Linked DNA regions of Callithrix jacchus. The protein of the gene in region 2 interacts with the protein of the main gene of each other region in a pairwise test. Links are inferred from orthologs where the notes say so. Each region holds a gene or a part of one and is shown on either strand. Other genes may lie near its edges.

What was found.
Region 1: the proteins of CDK4 (region 2) and CDKN2B interact in binary tests that used the Homo sapiens proteins (3 or more experiments, as listed by UniProt). The link is inferred for Callithrix jacchus from reciprocal best matches to the Homo sapiens genes CDK4 and CDKN2B.

What each region holds. Positions count from the first base shown.
Region 1 is NC_133502.1:129,003,177-129,013,305, reverse strand, and holds the start of CDKN2B (cyclin-dependent kinase 4 inhibitor B), read left to right. Parts: upstream 1-5,281; 5' UTR 5,282-5,628; coding exon 5,629-5,784; exon of another isoform or gene 5,785-5,950; intron 5,951-8,328; coding exon 8,329-8,589; 3' UTR 8,590-10,129. UniProt on the Homo sapiens protein: Interacts strongly with CDK4 and CDK6. Potent inhibitor. Potential effector of TGF-beta induced cell cycle arrest.
Region 2 is NC_133510.1:61,949,554-61,959,555, forward strand, and holds the start of CDK4 (cyclin-dependent kinase 4), read left to right. Parts: upstream 1-5,170; 5' UTR 5,171-5,294; intron 5,295-5,701; 5' UTR 5,702-5,720; coding exon 5,721-5,935; intron 5,936-6,091; coding exon 6,092-6,227; intron 6,228-6,344; coding exon 6,345-6,512; intron 6,513-6,669; coding exon 6,670-6,779; intron 6,780-7,945; coding exon 7,946-7,996; intron 7,997-8,132; coding exon 8,133-8,268; intron 8,269-8,824; coding exon 8,825-8,917; 3' UTR 8,918-10,002. Other genes in the region: E3 ubiquitin-protein ligase MARCHF9, read right to left, coding at 998-2,029, 2,519-2,560.

The DNA.
Region 1 (10,129 bases), on a different chromosome or scaffold from region 2:
AGCCAATTTCTGCAAGAAATAAATTGAAAGAAAAAAAAGAAGGCGAAAAGGGGAAACTGTAGATTAACAGGAAACAAGAGGCCAGGTACAGTGGTTCATGCTTGTAATCCCAGCACTTTGGGAGGCTGAGGTGAGAGAACTGCTTGAATCCAGGAGTTTAAGACCAGCCTAGGCCAGATGGCAAGACTTCATCTCTACCAAAAAGTAAAAATATTAGCCAGTCATGGTGGCCAACACCTGTAGTCCCAGCTACTTTGGAGGCTGAGGCAGGAGGATCCCTTCAGTCCAGGAGTTCGAGGTGGCAGTGACCCTTGCTCATGGTACTGCACTATAGCCTGGCTGACAAGGTGTAACCCATCCCTTAAAGAAAAAAAGAGGGAGAGAGAGATACAACAGACTGGTAGCAATTTCAGCCAATTTCAATGTGCTAGCCTTATTTTAATCCTTATTCAAATGAATAAATTATTAACAATAGTTTTAAAAGAAATGAAAAGTAAAATGTGTAAAAATTAAGATGCTGTTAAAGGCTGAATTGTTGCCTCAAAATTCTTATGTTAAAGTCCTAATCCCAATACTCACAATGTGACTATATTTGGAAATATGGCCATTAAAGAAGTGACTAAGTTAAAATAAGGCCATTGGGGTGGGCCCTAATCCAATCTGACCGGTGTTCTCAAAAGAGGAGGAAATTAGGACACACAAAAGAGACTCAGGGGCATGTGTGCACACTATGTGTGCTGACTATGTGAATAGGCAGCAGCAGGATGACCATCTGCAAGTCAAGAAGAGGGGCCTTAGGAGAAGTTAAAACTGAGAAAATAAATATCTGTTGTTGAAGCCACTCAGTCTGTGGTATTTTGTTATGGCAGTGCTGGCAAACTGATACAGATGCTAAAATGATGAGTAAGTCTACCATTTAATTAATCTTGAAAAACACCTGGGAATATGGCAGTAGATACTGTGGATCATGGAGCAATAATTCCCAACTCATAAAATGGAGAAAATCAAACCACCTGGTGGGAAGGTGGGTCATATAAAATTTGAAAAGGGCCCCAAAGTGATTATAAATTTCCTTCTCTTCTCACTTAGAAACACTATCTTAGACCTAACAATGTGCAAAAGAGCACACAAATGAGGGCAAGGTTAGGTCACTGTTTCCTTTAGCCAGTCAATTAGTTCTATTCATACATTTTTGGAGAGGTCATATACAGACAGTTTCACCAACTAGAATATAAAAATATTATTTCTAGTGATCTAAGTTACGTGCAACATTGGAACAGATACTACTCATTTCCTCCCACTAACCTCCAAAATTCTAAGCCAATTTGCCATTAACTTTTTCTTCTCACTTATAAATTATTCACCATATTAAAAGACATGGCTCTGAGAAGTCCAAGTTTCAGCTGCCCACTATGTTCCCAACCACTTCATCTTTTAAATGTGTTTAAAGCATTAACAACAGATTGTGTTTCACCCTAGAGACAGCTGGGTTTCAAAGAGAGGTAAAATGTTTCATAATCTCACTCTACTGTCCAAGACAAATGTGCTATTGTATTACATGAGAAGTGTCATCTTTGAAGTCTATTAAGGGTGTGCTGTGAGGTGAGCCATCTGGAAAACACAGTGTAGACTGAATAATAATTACATTAGTTTATTACTCTTTTTCCAGTTAAGCCCACCATGACAGCTGCTAAAAACACTATGTAGTATAAAGGGTAACAAGACTCTGAAGTTGCACAAGTTATACCCATCACCAATAATGATTAGCTAGTATACAAGTCACTCAACTTTTCTGATCCTTTTGGCTTGTCTGTATAATTGAAATATGGACACATTCCACAAGGAGTTTTATGAGTGCTAAATGAAACAACGGGCCAGGCACAGTGGCTCACGCCTGTAATGTCACTCCCAAAACTTTGGGAGACCGGGTCGGGCAGGTCACGAGGTAAGCCTGGCCAATATGGTGAAACCCCGTCTCTACTAAAAATACAAAAATTAGCTGGGCGTAGTAGCTGCGCCTGTAATCTCAGCTACTCAGGAAGCTGAGGCAGGAGAATAACTTGAACCCAGGGGGCAGAGTTTGCAGTGAGCCAAGATCACGCCACTGTACTGCACTCCAGCCTGGGCAACAGAGCAAGACTGTCAAAAAGAAAGAAGGGAAGGATGGAAGGAAGGAAGAAAGGAAGAAAGGAGGGAAGGAGGGAAGGAGGGAAGGAAGGAAGGAAGGAACAGTTGTAAAGCACTTGGGACAGATTACACAGTACGTGGTATTTCTCTTCTTCTAAATATAGACTGTATGATATTCTTTATACAGGGAATATTAGATAAAATCTAACCATATTTGGAAACCAGGTTGAACAGGTTGATTTTTCAAAGAAATCCATTGAGCTCCCATAAGGTCCTTTCTATTTAATGGAGAAAAGGGGCTTTGGAAGATACAGTTTGAAGCTTTAGAATTCTGTCTGGAACAGGTTAGGACCACCCAGGCCTGTGAGTATAAGCAAAGCGCTGTCCGTGGTGCTACTAAGCGCGAAGGCCCCCGGCATCATTTTCCCTACCCAAAGTTGTTTTTCAGCCGACTTGCTTAGCGAAGCTCACACATCTGTCTCGTCATTATACTTACCCATTAGTTCTTTCCCTATCACCATCCTTTGTGCTCCCGTCAAAGAAGAACATTATCTTCTATTTCCCTATCAACTACAGTTTTCATTTTTCGGACACATTTACCACCTAAGAAATTGGCTCAGGAATTCGCTCAGACTATCTTGTCCTAATTTTTTTGATAAGTTTCAGAGAAACTCAAGGTCAAAGCTCTTGCTTTGACATTTTTCTTTTTTGAGACCGAGTTTTACTCTGTCACCCAGGCTGGAGTGTAGTGGTGCGATCTCAGCTCACTGTAACCACTGCCTCCCGAGTTCAAGCGATTCTCCTGCCTCAGTCTCCTGAGTAGCTGGGATTACAGGCGTGCACTATCATGCCCGGCTAATTTTTGTGTTTTTAGTACAGACAGAGTTTCTCCATGTTGCTCAGGCTGGTCTCAAACTCCTGAGCTCAAGCGATCCAGATCCACACACTTCGACCTCACCAAGTGCTGGAATTACACGCATGAGCCACTGCACCCAGCCTCTAGACACATTCATTTATGATGCATCCTTTGAAAACTCTCTTCGATTGGCATCTCCTCTTAGAAACGTTCCTTGTACCCTCACCCTAAATTAGGTTCCGGTCTTCCTTACTTCCAAAGCACCTTGTGGATATACATTAAATTGAAACTATTTATTAGTTTCTAGTGCCACTACAGAGTTTCTTAAAAGTGAGGACTCATGTCTTATTCAACTTTGAACTTCTAGAATATAGGACATGCTGCATTACTTACTTTGAACTAAACTTAATAACTGTATCTATGAGAGACAAGATCCCAATAACAAAAAGGCAACCTCCCTTGTTGCATTTGACTGTGCACTACATTTTGGAGTACCTCGGCTTTTCTGATGAAGATATTCTGGACTGTGTCTTTGCCACCACATCCACCACACCAGGCTAGTGGCTTGGCCCCTCAGGGTGAATGGTAAAGAACCAATGTCATTCATTTTAAAGACTCCTGCTTCCCACTGCCCATCTTTCCTCCTCTTTCTCCTGTTCTACCTACACCTCTGTTATCCCCAATACACTATGCATGGGGACTGATTCCCAAGACAAAAGCAATCTGTTCATGTGTTTCACCCAGAAGTAGACTTTGGTTCCTCTAGTCAAATCTAAAAATGGAGTAGCCATCAACAAATAAAAGGGCATTTTCACAGAAACATGGAAGTTTGAATAAAAGTGAAAGGTAGAGGAATTAAGAAACTGAAGACTACGAAATTGAGGTTGGATGGTAAAGACAAAGAAATTGTTATTAATGTTAAGCAGTTCCCTTCCCTGTCCAGGTAGATTTCAGCTCTGTTGAGGCTCCATCAGATTTTCAGCCCTAACCACCACTTCCATGGGCACCACTTCCTTTAAAAGAAAGCTTTCTCTCATGCTACAGGGATTTGGGTGATGAGGAGTCAGAGCTGAGGTATCCTAGAAGAAACAGGTGGAGACTCTCATTTTGCAATATACAACCAATTGCCCTCCTTTTAAAACTTTGTCTTCCTCAGCACTCTGAACCAAAATGATTCTGTAAATAAAAATTGTTCACTCTAAGGAGACGTTCACTTGTGTAGTTCCTCACCAAAGTTTTTAGGCAACAAATCCATAATTTGTTGTTTTCTTCCTAGCCAATTTAGCATCAGCTGAAATTTTTTAAAATAATATAATAAATGTTGATTCAAACTCACCTAGGAAGATTAGAAAGGGGAAAAAAGGCACTTGGCATTTAAATCTTCAGAAGAGAATTTAATAACAGGTTCAGCCTGTTTAATGACAGGCCCAGCACCACACCCTTCTCTTATTATGTTTCATCATTACTGCATAAATTTCCTTTACTACTCACGATAAATAAAAAATTAAATGCTTGACAAAGTGGATTTAAACAGGTAAGAGTGCAAACAAAGATTTGCTGTACAAATATGATGAAACTGGGATCTCAGATTCTTAAAGTATAAATTTTTTTTGTCTATGTGTTCCAGGTTGCCACTCTCAATCTCTAACTAGTTTTTTTTTTTCTTTTTTGAGGGTTATATTCATAATGCAAAGATGGAAAGAATTTAAAGGCACATGCAAAACAGGATTCTCAGAATTTTTCTCTATTATTATGGTTGACTAATTCAAATAGGAAGACACGTCCAAAAGAAAATTGCTAAGGTTGACACAAGATATGAAACTTACGAAGTTCAAGTACTGCCTGGGATGAATTTAACTTGTATGACAGGTGCAGAGCTGTCGCTTTCAGACATCTTAAGAAAGACGGAGTTATTTTCAGTGCCTTTCTCTCAGCCACAAGGGAGCCACCAACGTCTCTCAAGTGAAACCAACTGGCCTAAGGCTGACGGAACAGAAGTCCTCTGCTCCGCCTACTGGGAATTAGAAGCTGAGGGCAGTGGGTCAACATTCCCAAAATCTTAGCCTTGGATTTACTGGACATCCAGCCAGCAGTGCTGCCGGCGTCCCGGCGGCTCCCCGGCCCAGTCTCTGGCGCATGCGTCCCAGCACCTTTGGGCGGGCTTCCCCGCCGCCGTGACGCGTCGACCGGGCCGGGCCTTCCCGCGAGCAGGCGGGCAGGGGGCGGAGCCTAAGGGGGAGGGGAGAGGCAGGCCCCTTGGCCCAGCTGAAAACTGAATTCTTTGCCGGCTGGCTCCCCACTCTGCCAGAGCAAGGCGGGGCAGTGAGGACTCCGCGACGCGTCCGCACCCTGCGGCCAGAGCCGCTTTGAGCTCGGCTGCGGCCGCGCGAGGCGCTTTTTCCCAGAAGCAATCCAGTCGCGCCGGGTGGTTCTTGGGGCCAGGAAAAAGCCCGGAGCTAATACCCGCCGCTCTGACATCGAACGGGGCCGCAAGCCGCAGACGCACGGCGGAGGGGAATGAAGCTGAGTCCAGCTCTCCCAGGAAGACAGTGCGCCGGAGCGGCGTGGGAAAGAAGGGAGGAGTGTCGTTAAGTTTACCGCCCACGGTGGATTACCCGGGCCGCTGCGCGTCTGGGGGCTGCGGAATGCGCGAGGAGAACAAGGGCATGCCCAGTGGGGGCGGCAGCGATGAGGACCTGGCCAGCGCCGCGGCGCGAGGACAAGTGGAGAAGGTGCGACAGCTCCTGGAGGCCGGCGCGGATCCCAACGGAGTCAACCGCTTTGGGAGGAGCGCAATCCAGGTAGCTGGGCCCCGGGGCCTCGCCGGCAGGGGGCGCGCGAACGCGGGGCGCGGCCTCGGTGGGTCGGGGCTGGAACCTAGATCGCCGGTGTAGACTTACGCAGCAGTCTCCCTTGGCCGGAGGTGTACAGCCCAGGCATAAAACAGGCTTTTACCCAACAAAAATCCTAAAGAGAGAGATTGAAAAACCCACTGTTTCAGCTTTTCTTTAAAATATTGTTTTCTGCCATCTCATGATCAGAAATGCAAGGAATAGATTGAATTGGGAAAAAAAGGAGAAAGGGAAAGTTTATTTGGGGAGGAAGACTTGTCTGCCTGCTTTCAACGATACAGATAAGTAAACTAAGTTATACATTCTGGATTGGATTTAAGGAATTCTACAAAATCATAGTACATGGAAAAAATTCAATGTAAAGTTTTAAGCTACTATATGAAATCTGTTGTATTGTTTTCTCATAAAGGTTAATTGAATTCAAAGTAATAAGACTGGATTCCTCAACCACAGTACTTAGTTCTTTTTATGTTAGCAATGTCTTATAAGTGATGCATAAGAGAAAAATATATACATATAGTTCTATAGATTTTTCATTTAATTATCATACTCAGTGCTCAGATTACAAAAATATTCCTGCAGCTACTGTTAGGTCCTTTCTGAATGACAAAGGATCTTCATAAATAAGGTATCTTTATCTTCATTGTTAAAGTACTTGTATTCAATGTTTACAAATCCTGCTTTAATTAGTACTGATATTTTTAATTTCTTTTACAATCTTAGGACAACACTTTTGTACTTTACCATTGGCTATTGGTCATATTCAGTATTCACCTCACTATCACCCTCCAAAACTAAGCTAATACTAAGGGATCTTGTTACAGTGTAGATTTTATAGAAGTGTCCATTTCTTTTGAATTCTTAGAATAGAGGTAAAACAAATAAGGGATATTTTAAAGGAGCAAAAATATTGTAAAGTGGTTTTTTAAAACTTAAAATTCTATTAATAATTATAAAAACAAGTTATATATATAATTCACCATTTTCTGAAATACTAAGAACAGCTATTTTCCCCTCTGTTTTCTATGTAAAATACCTTACATCGCTAGTAAAAAAATAACATCATGGTTTTCAAGGGAGGAAATGAACATTTCTAATATTAATGAAATAAGCAAACAAAACATGAGAAGTATACTGCCTTTCAATTAAATGGTACATTTTAAAGTACATAAACCCATAACTTGATTTGGGACATTTACCAAAAACTGTCTTATAATTAACTTAAAATATGTCAGCAAATGTTTTGATAATGTTCATGTACACAAATGGCTGCTATAGGATTACTCCTGCAAAACGCTTTTTCTAAGTTATGCATCATCCTGATTGACTGCTGACATCCAAGCTCTTTTTATTTATTTTATTTTATTTTTTATTTTTTTGAGATGGGGCATCACTCTGTTGGGCAGACTGGAGTGCAGTGGTATGATCTCAGCTCACTGCAACCTCAGCTTCCAAGGTTCAAGTGATTCTCCTGCTTCAGCCTCCCGAGTTTTGGGGGCTGTAGACCGGCCCCACCACTCCCAGCTAATTTTTTTTCTTTCTTCTTTTTTTTTTTTTTTGTAGTAGAGACAGGATTTCACCATGTTGGCAAGGCTGGTCTCCAACTCCTGACCTCAGGTGATCTGCCTACTTCCGCCTCCCAAAGTGCTGGGATTACATTACCTGGCCCAAGCTCTTTTTATATAGCAAAATATTTACTATTTAACGTTATAAAATCTTAGCTATTATACAATCCTATAGTACATGGAAAAATATAAATATATTGTTAGTTTTACATTACATTAAATATATTACACTCTAAATTTAAAATGATGAACTGTTTAACAAAAATCATTTGTTCTCACAATTTTATAAGATTTTGCATGATTTAATTTACTTTTCCCTTCTAATCTCCAACTTTGGCTCAAATTTCACACTACAATCTCTTTATGAACACAGACACAAGATAAAAGCCTTCCCCGCAGGATTTGCTGAGAACTAAACTTTTTTAAAAACATAGTGGTTGATTTTCTCCCCTAAACCATTACTCCCAACTTCTGACAAACAGTAGTTGGCTTCCTAGTAAATATTTTGAGACCTAGATTATGGAGGAGGGGTCAGCAAGGCAAATAATTTGAAACTTTAAAAGCCAAATAAATTTAACTGTGCCTATAAATCATTTAACAAAATAGATTCCCATGTTCCGATGGAAATCAAGATTTGCTTTCCACAATGACGATCATCACTTTACCATCAACTTTCTTGTCTCTGCACGTTTAGAAAATAAAATGGCATTTAATTTGTACTGAGTAGAGTATAACCTGAAGGTGGGGTGGGAAAGCAGATTGCATCAGCAAATGAAGAAACACCAGACACCGGAGACTTGAACACCTCTGCACTGGGTGGATACTTCACAAATAGGTGTTTGTTTAAAGGCTCCGCCCACCTCACCCAGGCCGGCACCTCCCACACCTGACTCCACCCTGGCTCTGACCACTCTGCTCTCTCTGGCAGGTCATGATGATGGGCAGTGCCCGCGTGGCAGAGCTGCTGCTGCTTCACGGTGCCGAGCCCAACTGTGCGGACCCTGCCACTCTCACCCGACCGGTGCACGACGCTGCCCGGGAGGGCTTCCTGGACACGCTGGTGATGCTGCACCGGGCAGGGGCACGGCTGGACGTGCGCGATGCCTGGGGCCGTCTGCCCTTGGACCTGGCTGAGGAGAGGGGCCACTGCGATGTTGCAGGGTACCTGCGCGCGGCTGCGGGGGACTGACACCGGGTTCCCCAGCCGCCCACAACGACTTTATTTTCCTCCCCAATTCCCCACCCCCACCCACCGAATTAGATGAAGGCTGCAAAAGGGGAGCAGCAGGAAGCCTGTAAACCTACAGGCTGTCTGAGACTCGCAGGAAGGGGGAGCCTACCAGGAATAACCTTCCATACTTTTTTTTTTTTCTGGATCCGGCCCTCGACACTCACCGTGAAGCCAAACACAGGCGGATTTCCAGTGATACTTAGGAGTGTGTGAAGTTCAGGTGTCGTTTGCTTTTCCGGGTTTTCTCAGGGAAAGTGTATATGAAATCCTTGACCAACCCTGGTGGCTACTAATCTTCCAATGGATGACTCCAGCGCTGAGTGGAAGACAGTCGTGATTGGCATTTGGGTGGGGGCAGTCCATGCGTTCACCCCACTGTCTGCTGAGGAGTTCTGGTGAACCCACAGGTTAGGCCCTAGCGGGGGGTGGGGGGGGGGGTGGGGAAGAAAACCTGAAGACTGAGGACAAAGTGGACGAGGGCTGAGGTGGGCTTCAGAAAGTGCTCGGTGCTTTTTGTCTGGCCGCTTGGCAAATCCAGAGCGGAAACCACACTCTCTGGAAGCGCTGGGGACCCGTGCCCAGCTCCACCAGATAGCAGAGGGGTAAGAGAGGACATGCAAGCGAAGACAGATGTCCCCCCAAAGATCGTCGTAGTCCTAAAATCCCTGGACCACGACGCTGCAGAACACCTTTGCAGAGGGTGTTGGCCTTTGTTCTTACTGCACTGAGGAGAGATTACCGCGGCATTCCGGAGGCAAACTGCGCAGGATGAGATGGTGAAGTGGAATGAGAGCAATTGTAAGGGTTAACTGTAACGTTTTGTTTCTTAAACACAAGCGTGCGCGCGCATGAATTGCTACTTTTTGCTTTTATGATATTTTGTATTTTTTTAGTTGTTCAGTAACTGTCTTATTTAATGCAGAGATTTTAAATAACATTATAACTAGTGGCTCTCAGTTAAAACGTAGAAAGAACTACAGCTCTTAAATGTAGCCATGGCACTGTAGCAAGCTCTGTGCAAACGCCTAGATTGCTTTCTCCTTAACCTATTTATTTCTTTGTTAAATATTTCTGATTGTTTCCTTTATAGAGTGTCTCAGAGTGCAGAGGTCAGACTAAGAAATATTCCAAATGTCTTTTAGAAGATAGATGCACTTATTTAGTAAATTATCTGGGGATATTTCCCAAAAGACTGCTGAAAAAAATAGATTGAGTATAAAAACTGTTGTAAATATATGATGGCTTGTGGGATGTCCTACTATCTACTGAACAAACTAAAGATGCACTGCTTTGGGATTTAATTTCCAGTGTTGCTTATTATATCATTGGAAAAAACTGATACTTCACTGCTTTATAAAGAATTAACAGATTGAACTCCAAGAGATGGGTAATTTGGTTTAAAAATATATGTTCATGGATTTACCACTAACTCCTGAGAAATGTTAAAGGTTCACAGGAGTTCCCTTATCTCAACATTTGTAATAATTATTTATAAGCA
Region 2 (10,002 bases):
CGCGCTCCTCCACAGGGAAACCTCCTCTTCAGGTCACTTTCCCACATTAAAAAACTCAGGCCTTTCACCCAAGACAGGGAAAGAGGCTAAGTAAGGCTGCAACGGAAAAGAAGTTTACCTTAGAGATCAAGGGAAACTTCCCATACCAAAGAGATGAGGGATGGAAAGGGATGACGAGGTTAGAGGGGAGGACGAAGGGGACGGGATCTTCTCTTTTCCTACAATTTCGGATGGGTAGTCTTTAAGACTTCTCAAAGGAAAGGCTTCCCCTTAGGATCTGGAGGGAGGGTAGTGTTAGAGCTTCTGAGCCATGCCCTCCTTGCCCCACCTCATCATTGTGAAGTTACTTCACAGATCTGGTGCAGACTGGGATGGGTTACGGTCCTCGGTTTCCACGTATTAAAAAGGGGAGCAACCGCGGAGGTGGAAGTGCAGGGTGTTTCCTTTTAATCAAGGTATCAGTTCTCACTACACAGAGACAACCCCTGGCACTATTCTGGGACAACTTTGCCCATAAAATTTTATCAAAGAATACTCTTTGAAATGAGATAGAAAGTTGCTGAATGGGAACTGAAGAAAAGTGCCCCACGGGGAGGAATACTGAGCGAAGCAAGGGCGCTGGCTGGGCCCCTCCCTTCAAGGTGGTCACAGAAGCACTCTCCTTTCTGCCCACCTGCAAGAGTGAGTCTCCTCCCCTCAGCTTACGGAGACCCTGGGGCGAGGGAAACTGGAGAGAACAGCAGTCCCTCTTAATGGTGAAAGGGATTTTGCGCTCTCCGGAGGGAAAGCCCCACCCCTTCCTAGGGACCCTAGACCCCCCAACACAAACAAGCGCTCCAGGAGTCCCCTGCCAGCCCCTTGGCCTCACCCCATTCCCACTCCGGGTCCTGGGGCCCCGCCCAGCCTCCTCAGGCCCCGCCCCTGCTCGCGGTCCCCGCGGACACCCCCAGGTGCGCTCCCCCACCCCTCCGCGCCCGGCCAGGTGCCCAGGCCTGACCTGCTCCGGGCCCTGGAAGCAGATCCGGCACTGGGGGGTTCGGAGTCCACTGTCCAGGCTGCTACTGAGTGACAAGGCGTCCAGCGCGCCCGGGGGCGGCAGCGGCGGCGCGGGCGGCGGCAGGGGTCCAGCCCGCGGCTCCTTGTCGCCGGCCAGGCCCCGGGCCCGCGGCTCCGACCCGTAGTACTCCTCCTCGTCGCCGTCGCCGTCCCGGGTGGAGCAGCTGGCGAAGGGCGCCCAGCCGCAGCCGCCTCCCCCGCCCCCCCGGGGCTGCGGCTCGGCCCGGGGCCGCCCCCCGCCCGTCAGCACCAGCAGCTTCAGCTCGTTCAGGAACATGCGGAGCCGAGACTTGAGCATCGTCCGGGCGCCGGGGGCGGGGGGCGGCGTGCAAGGGGGGCTCGCTGGCGGCGGGGGGAAGGGAGAGGACAAGGCCGGGAAGGGGGCGCGCGCTGGAGAGCCGAGCCGGGCCGGGGTCTTCGGGGCCTGCGACCGCCGTTCACTGCTGCCACCGCCGGGGCTCTGGGGCTTGAGGAGCCGAGTGGGCTGGCGGCCCGGGGGTGGCGGGGTGGGCGGCCATGGCCGGGGCAGGGGGCGGGGAGAGGGACTCAGGGTGCCGCGCCCCGCGGGTCCGGGTCCGGAGCGGGCCGGGCCCCCGGGGTTACACGCCCAGGTCCTCCTGCGGCGGGGCCGCCCCCCATGGCCGTCCTCCCGGTTCCAGTCTCGCTCCGGCTCGGGGATCAGGCTCGGCTCGGCCCGTGCGCTCGGTGGTGGCAAATGGCGGCTCCTTCCGGCGGCGGCGGCGGCGGCGGAGACCCCCCCGGAGCGGCGGGCGGGCGGGGCGGGAGCCGGGGAGCGGGTGAAGGATGGAGGGAGGGGCGGGACGGGGAGGGGGAGAGAAGAAGGGGCCGCGGCTGCGCATCCCCTCCCTGCCCCGCCAGAGCAGGTGTCCCCAGGGGCGGGGGCAAGTGTGCGAGCCCGGGGAGGGTGGAGGAAGGGGAGTGGCCAAGGAAGGGGAGTGTGCACACGAGTAGACTAGGTGTGTGTCTGGGAGTGGGGGATGAGCGGGTGAGCATGGAAGGTGAGTGGTCAAAGGACGCAGGTGTACCAGGGAGGGAGAAGCTTGCGCAAAATGGGAGTGTGCAAAGAAAGAGCTGTGCAAGGGTCGGAGGTATGAGAGAGGTACACACATGGGCAGGGGAGGGACTCAAGCAATATACACTTTACCCAAAGGGCTGAAAAGTGTGCTTGATGGGGACTGGGAAAGAGGTGTGTAAGGAATGGAATCGGATTGCCTGAGAAACAGAAGCCTCTGACTGTAATGTGAGGAGGTGAGTGAGCAGGAGGTAGGCGTGCTACAGGGATGGGCGTGTCTTTCCTGGTACTCTCCTGCAGTGACCTCCACTACATTGAAGTGAACAACACACACACTTAGCCTTTGCTTTTATGGAGCCTTCTCTCTGAGAACAAGTTCTACCCCATCACATTTTTTTCTGCCTCACACTTACATTCTCCCTCTCCTACCCTTTGCAAAGCTGAGGGAAAAGGGATTTCAGGGGAGCCCATTGGGTCAAACACACTGGGAAAAAATTAATTAGTGAAAGAGTAATTAACAGAAGAAGGGAGGAGACAGAGCCTGGGACAGACTGCCAAATTAAGGTTCCTCAAAGAAAGTGATGGAGAGACAGTAATGTTCCCATGAAATATTCAAATGGTTTGGATGGACTAATGAATGAATCAGAAAAAGGGGCTGGGACCCAAGCAGACAGAGAGGATGGCTTCTGTTTTAAAGAGAGTAAGCTGTGAGGCCAGGAACGGTAGCTCACACCTGTAATCCCAGTACTTTGGATGGATCATCTGAGGTCGCAAGTTTGAGAACAGCATGACCAACAGGGAGAAACCCTGTCTCTACTAAAAATACCAAAAAAATTAGCTGGGTGTGGTGGCAGGCACCTGTAATCACAGCTACTTGGGAGGCTGAGGTAGGAGCATCACTTGAACCCAGGAGGTGAAGGTTGCGGTGAGCTGAGATGGTGCCATTGCACTCCAGCCTGGACAACAAGAGTGAAACCCTGTCTCAAAAAAATAAAAGAGAGAGAGAAAGCTGGGATGGGCTTATGCGGAAGGTGAGGCTGAAGTGGGGAATGCTGATGTGGGCAGGGAGTTTGAGAAACTCACAGACACTTATCTTAGCTTTCCAGAAGGCTTACAAAGCACCCACCCCAGCAAGGGAGCCAATAAAACATTCACCTCTTGAGCCCCTTAGTCAGTTCAGTCCTTGAGGTTTTTTTTTTACTAGTGTTCCAGTTGCCCTTACCAGGAGGGACCCAGGGCTACAAGTATCAGGATGGAAAGAGGAGGCATCTGTATTAACATGTATCCTGTTTTGCTCTAAATAATAGTTTATATTCATCTTCTAGTTTGAACTCTTATATTCTCAGCCAGATGGTTCAGGAAAACAGAAGTTAGGGTGGAAGGAGTGGCAAATAAGGTAATAAACCAGCTTTAGATTTTAGACAAATTCAGCTGGGCACAGTGTCTCACGACTGTAATCCCAGCATTTTGGGAGGCTGAGGCAGGCAGATAACTTGAGGTTGGGAGTTTGAGACCAGCCTGACCAACATGGAGAAACCCTGTCTCTACTAAAAATACAAAATTAGCTGGGATCACAGGCGTGGTGGCACATCACACTATTGCACTCCACCCCTGGCAACAAAGCGAAACTCCGTCTCAAAAAATACATATATATTTTGTCTAAAATATACATTTATATATATTTTTAGACAAAAAATATATATTTATATATATTTTAGACAAATTGTCAATTCTCACAAATGAGACACTAACCACTTTCCTCCTTTACTCCCATACCCCTAAAGGGCTGGGAGATAAAGAACCTGGAGCCAATAAAACAAAAAAGGTAGGAGAAATCTACCTCTGTCAACCTAGGTGTCTGTGGGCAGAGGCCATTTGGGAAAAATGGTGCTAAGTGCTGGTTCTGGATGGTGCTAAGTGCTAAGAAAGCTGCACTAGGGAAAAAGGGAAGCACAGTGACTCCAAATGAACAGTCACAAGCTTGCAGAAAAGCACGTCATTCCCATTTACTGTGGTTGTCTGGAGGGTGCAGGGGGTGTGGTGGTAACTTCTTGCACATGCGCCTGTCTACGACATGTAATAAGTAATATAACATACATACATATATATATACCTAGAAGTATATATATACACACATATATCTTAATCTCACATAATCATAGAATCTTCCTACTGAAAAAACAAAAACAAAAAACATAAAGGTCAAGTATTCCTGTCTCCTGCTCATCAATAACTTCTCTGCCAGATGGCCTCAAGTCTTTGCATTAACACTTCCAGGAAGGTTTGGAAGTTGGGAACTAGAGGGCATTACTTTGCCACTGTTCCTGTTGTCTTACTGTATTAATCTGCCTTCTGTCCATCCCCTAATTGAAGTTTTGCCCTCCAGTGGGCATTGTCTACTACCTATTTTATAAGACCCCATTGTTGGCTACATCTTTATAGATAGTCGTACCACTACTTTAAAGAGCCAGTGACAGACACCAAAAACAAAACAAAATAAAAACCCACATACACACTGGCAACAAGCACTCAGTACAATTTTGTAGAATGAATGAGTGAAACAATGGCACAAATGAGAGTATGTTTTCTCACGGTGAAGCAAAAAGGTGATAGTACCACCTCTGGTCCCCCAACTCCCACCCTCTCCCCAATGTAGTCAGGCTGAAAGACCAGTGAAACAATCTTTCAGCCCGGAGTTGGGCTCTGGGTGGCCTGGGTTGCCATGGCACCGCCTTGGGCTCCACCCTCTCTTGCCCCCTACCGCGCCCCCCCACCCGCAGCGGGGTTGTGGCAGCTAGTCACGTGCCCTTCGCGTAACCACACCTCTGCTCCTCCGAGCAATGTCAAGCGGTCACGTGTGATAGCAACAGATCACATGGCTGTATCTCCCCTCCGCCCCTCTTACGCTCTTAGCTCTCCTCCCCGTCAAAGCGGCTCCTGGCCGCCCCCACAGCGCTTGGCTGGCGGTCACGTGCCCAGAACGTCCGGCGTTCGCCCCGCCCTCCCAGTTTCCGCGCGCCTCTTTGGCATCTGGTCACATGGTGAGGGTGGGGGTGAGGGGGCCTCTCTAGCCTGCGGCCTGTGTCTATGGTCGGGCCCTCTGCGTCCAGCTGCCCGGGACAGAGCCCGGGTGTATGGGGCCGCAGGAACCGGCTCCGGGGCCCCGATAACGGGCCGCCCCCGCAGCACCCCGGCCTGGCGTGAGGTAAGTGCAGCCCCATCCCAGCTTTCCACGCGTGCGTTTCGAGAGCTGGTTATGAAAGGGTCGTTCAAGGGCGGGAAATGGGGCCTTTGTGGTCGTGGGAAGGTATAATTTTAGGGACTGAGGTGTAAGATCTTCGATGCAAGGCGTGTGTCATGTGTGATCTTTGTACGGGGCGCGATTGTCCCAAAAGAAAAGGCATTTTTTATTGTAGGGCCTCACGTGGCTGCAGGGGTTGGTATTGAGTCATTGTGTTATCTCCGGGGCCGGCCCAAGGAAGATTGGGAGCGGGGGATGGGATGCTGGTGTTGTTCTTTGTGCTTTTTCTTGGGAGTCCCTTTGTTGCTGCAGGCTCATACCATCCTAACTCTGTAAGGGACTTTTAGTGATAGGAGTCTTTGTGATTGTAGGGTCTCCCTTGATCTGAGAATGGCTACCTCTCGATATGAGCCAGTGGCTGAAATTGGTGTCGGTGCCTATGGGACAGTGTACAAGGCCCGTGATCCCCACAGTGGCCACTTTGTGGCCCTCAAGAGTGTGAGAGTCCCCAATGGAGGAGCTGGAGGAGGCCTTCCCGTCAGCACAGTTCGTGAAGTGGCCTTACTGAGGCGACTGGAGGCTTTTGAGCATCCCAACGTTGTCCGGTGAGAAGGCGGTGGAGGGTTGGGAGTGGGCAGTAAAGGGAAAAGACAGTCTATAGGTGGGGTGTGGTGATCTGGTGAGAAGTGGGGACCCAGAGGAAATAATGAGAGGTCATGTGGGTTAAAGGGGATTGACAAGTGAGCATTTACTCTGGCCAGGCTGATGGATGTCTGTGCCACATCGCGAACTGACCGAGAGATCAAGGTAACCCTGGTGTTTGAGCATGTAGACCAAGATCTAAGGACATATCTGGACAAGGCACCCCCACCAGGCTTGCCTGCAGAGACCATCAAGGTGAGTGGGGTTGGTAGGCATTGAGAGGTGAATTGGGACCTTTGTAGTAGAACCTCCTGGGATTTCAGGGATGGTGCCTAGTTTCCAGTGCATCTGTTCCTCCCCCTTCTGAACTAGGATCTGATGCGCCAGTTTCTAAGAGGCCTAGATTTTCTTCATGCCAATTGCATCGTTCACCGAGATCTGAAGCCAGAGAACATTCTGGTGACAAGTGGTGGAACAGTCAAGCTGGCTGACTTTGGCCTGGCCAGAATCTACAGCTACCAGATGGCACTTACACCTGTGGTCAGTAGAAAGATGGTACCAATATGGGTTCTGGTTGGGAGTAGGAGAGTGGTGGCCCATAACAATTGAGAAGTCATGTGCTTCATGTGTTCAGTTAAGTCAGTTGTATTTCATGGTAACGCATGGGATCCCCATCCATTTTTCCTATCCCCTTTAGGTGGTTACACTCTGGTACCGAGCTCCCGAAGTTCTTCTGCAGTCCACATATGCAACACCTGTGGACATGTGGAGTGTTGGCTGTATCTTTGCTGAGATGTTTCGTCGAAAGTATGGGACCCACATACCCTGGACCACCTTGAATTCCCCAAATCTCTTGTTCATAAACCACATCCAAACCTCCCTTCCATTCTTCTTCTTTTTTTTTTTTTTTTTTGTTGGAGACAGGGTCTTCTCTGTTGTCCAGGCTAGATTGCAATGACATGATCACAGTTCACTGAAGCTTCAACCTCCTGGGCTCAAGTGATCCTCCCATCTCAGCCTCCCGAGTAGCTCACACTATAGGCGCACACCTCCATGCCTGGCTATTTTTTAATATTTTTGTAGAGATGGGGTCTCAGTATATTGCCCAGGCTGGTCTTGAACTCTTACACTCAAGCAGTCCTCCCAACTCTACCTCTCAAAGTGCTGGAATTACAAGCATGACCTACTGCACCTGGCCCCATTCGTTTACTTGAGTTCTACTGACTACCTTGGCCATAACGGGAAGCACTAAAATGTTCTGGAATTGGGAACTTCATATCCCTTTATTCTCCTTTATTTATTTATTTATTTGAGACAAGGTCTCACTCTATCACCCAGGCTGGAGTGCAGTGGCACAATTACAGCTCACTGTACCCTCTACCTCTTGGGCTCAAGCAGTCCTCCTGTCTCAGCCTCCTGAGTAGCTGGGACTACTACAGGCGCACGCCACCATGAATGGCTTTTTTTTTTTTTTTTCAAGACAGAGTGTGGCTCTGTTGCTAGGCTGGAGTGCAGTGGTGCGATCTTGGCTCACGGCAACCTCTACCTCCCGGGTTCAAGCAATTCTTCTGCCTCAGCCTCCCGAGGAGCTGGGACTACAGGTGTACACCACCGTGCCAAGCTAATTTTTATATTTTTAGTAGAGACGGGGTTTCACCATGTAGGCCAGGATGGTCTCCATCTCTTGGCCTCATGATCTGCCCACCTCTGCCTCCCAAAGTGCTGGGATTACAGGCGTGAGCCACCGCACCTGACATTTTTTTTTTTTTTTTTTTTTAAGAGACAAGGTCTTGCTTGTCCAGGCTTATCTAGAACTCCTGGGCTCAAAGAGTTGTCTCACCTTAGCATCCCAAAGTGCTGGAATTACTGGTCTTTATTTGCTATACTTTTTATTTTGGGCTACTAAGTAGTAACAGCCATTCGACTATGATACTTTAAAAATGACAGCTACCTTATGTCTCTTCTTACCTTAGGCCTCTCTTCTGTGGAAACTCTGAAGCTGACCAGTTGGGCAAAATCTTTGAGTAAGTGACCAATATGGGAGAAAAATATTTTACATTCTGAGTCCTCTTTCTGCTGAGCCCAGGATGGCAACTGGCTCTCTCCATGGGGATGGGAACTGGAGGACCCTCCTGACCACAGCTCTCCTGTCCCCCACAGCCTGATTGGGCTGCCTCCAGAGGATGACTGGCCTCGAGATGTATCTCTGCCCCGTGGAGCCTTTCACCCCAGAGGGCCCCGCCCAGTGCAGTCGGTGGTACCTGAGATGGAGGAGTTGGGAGCACATCTGCTGTTGGTATTGGAGATGGCTGTGGGCACAGGGAGGGACTGGGGGAAGAAGCAGAGCAGTACACAGGGCCCTGGCCACTGTGGTTAATGAAACTTGGTTGGTAGATGGGCTGTAGTTTTTATTGCAGCTGCAAATAGCCACCCACAGAGAGGGATCTAAAAGAGAGCCCATCCTGGCCAGGCGTAGTGGCTCACACCTGTAATACCAGCACTTGGGAGGCTAAGGCGGGTGGATCACCTGAGGTCAGGAGTTTGAGACCAGCCTGGCTAAAATGGTGAAACCTCATCTCTACTAAAAATACAAAAAGTAAGGCAGGCATGGTGGCACATGCCTGTCATCCCAGCTACTCGGGAAGCTGAGGCAGGAGAATCGCTTGAACTCAGGAGGCGGAGGTTGTAGTAAGCCGAGATCACACCACTGCACTCTAGCCTGGGCGACAGAGCAAGACCGTCTCAAAAAAAATAAAATAAAAAGAGAGAGCCCATCCCAGGTATTGTCACTGGTGCACAGAAGTCTCTTTCAGTTTTCTTCATGGTTTTCTAACCTTTGCCTCTCCCCTCAGGAAATGCTGACTTTTAACCCACACAAGCGAATCTCTGCCTTTCGAGCTCTGCAGCACTCTTACCTACATAAGGATGAAGGTAATCCGGAGTGAGCAATGGAGTGGCTGCCATGGAAGGAAGAAAAGCTGCCGTTTCCCTTCTGGACACTGAGAGGGCAGTCTCTGCCTTTGTCTCTGAGGCTGTGGAGTCTCCACCTCCATCTTTCTACAGAGATTACTTTGCTGCCTTAATGATATTCCCCTCCTACCTCTCCTTCTGAGGCCTCTCCTTCTGCCCCCCTATTTCCTACACTAAGGGGTATGTTCCCTCGTGTCCCTTTCCCTACCTTTATATTGGGGGTCTTTTTTTATACAGGAAAAACAAAACAAAGAAAAAATGGTCTTTTTTTTTCTTTTTTTTTAATGTTTCTTCCTTTGTTTGGCTTGGCCATTGTTCGATTTGGAAAAACCACTTGGAAGAAGGGACTTTCCTGCAAAACCTTAAAGACTGGTTAAGGTACAGGGCCTAGGCAGTCAGTGGAGCCCCTGGACTGACAAAGCTTAGAAAGAAACTGAAATTCCTTCTCTAAATATGGAATTTAGGCCAGGCGTGATGGCTCACACCTATAATCCCAGCACTTCGGGAGGCCAACATGGGTGGATCACCTGAGGTCAGGAGTTCGAAACCAACCTGACTTAACATGGTGAAACCCAGTCTGTACTAAAAATACAAAATTAGCTGGGTGTGGTGGTGCATGCCTGTAATCCCAGCTGTTTGGGAGGCTGAGGCAGGAGGATTGCTTGAACCCGGGAGGCAGACATTGCAGTGAGCCGAGATCATGCCATTGCACTTCACTCTGGGTGACAGAACAAGACTCCGTATAAAAAAAAAAAAAAAAAAAAAGCATTTTTAAATGGCTTTTATATTCATTGAACTTTCTCAAACTGGGTCCTGCTTATTACAGGAAAGAGTTCTTGGTGGTTTTCTCCTTGTCTCTGTCCCTAATTTACCCTTAAAGCCACACCAGGGTATGTTGAGGTGATCTAGTATATGGACAGAGGAGGAGGGGGAACAGTTAAGAATGACCCCAGTCCATTCTATGCACTCCCAGAAGCTTCCCATATCCTCCTGGAGAGAGGGAGAAAGTTTTTCCTTTTATTCCTTATAGTCTGGCTCCCACTAAAATATGTCAAGGTGT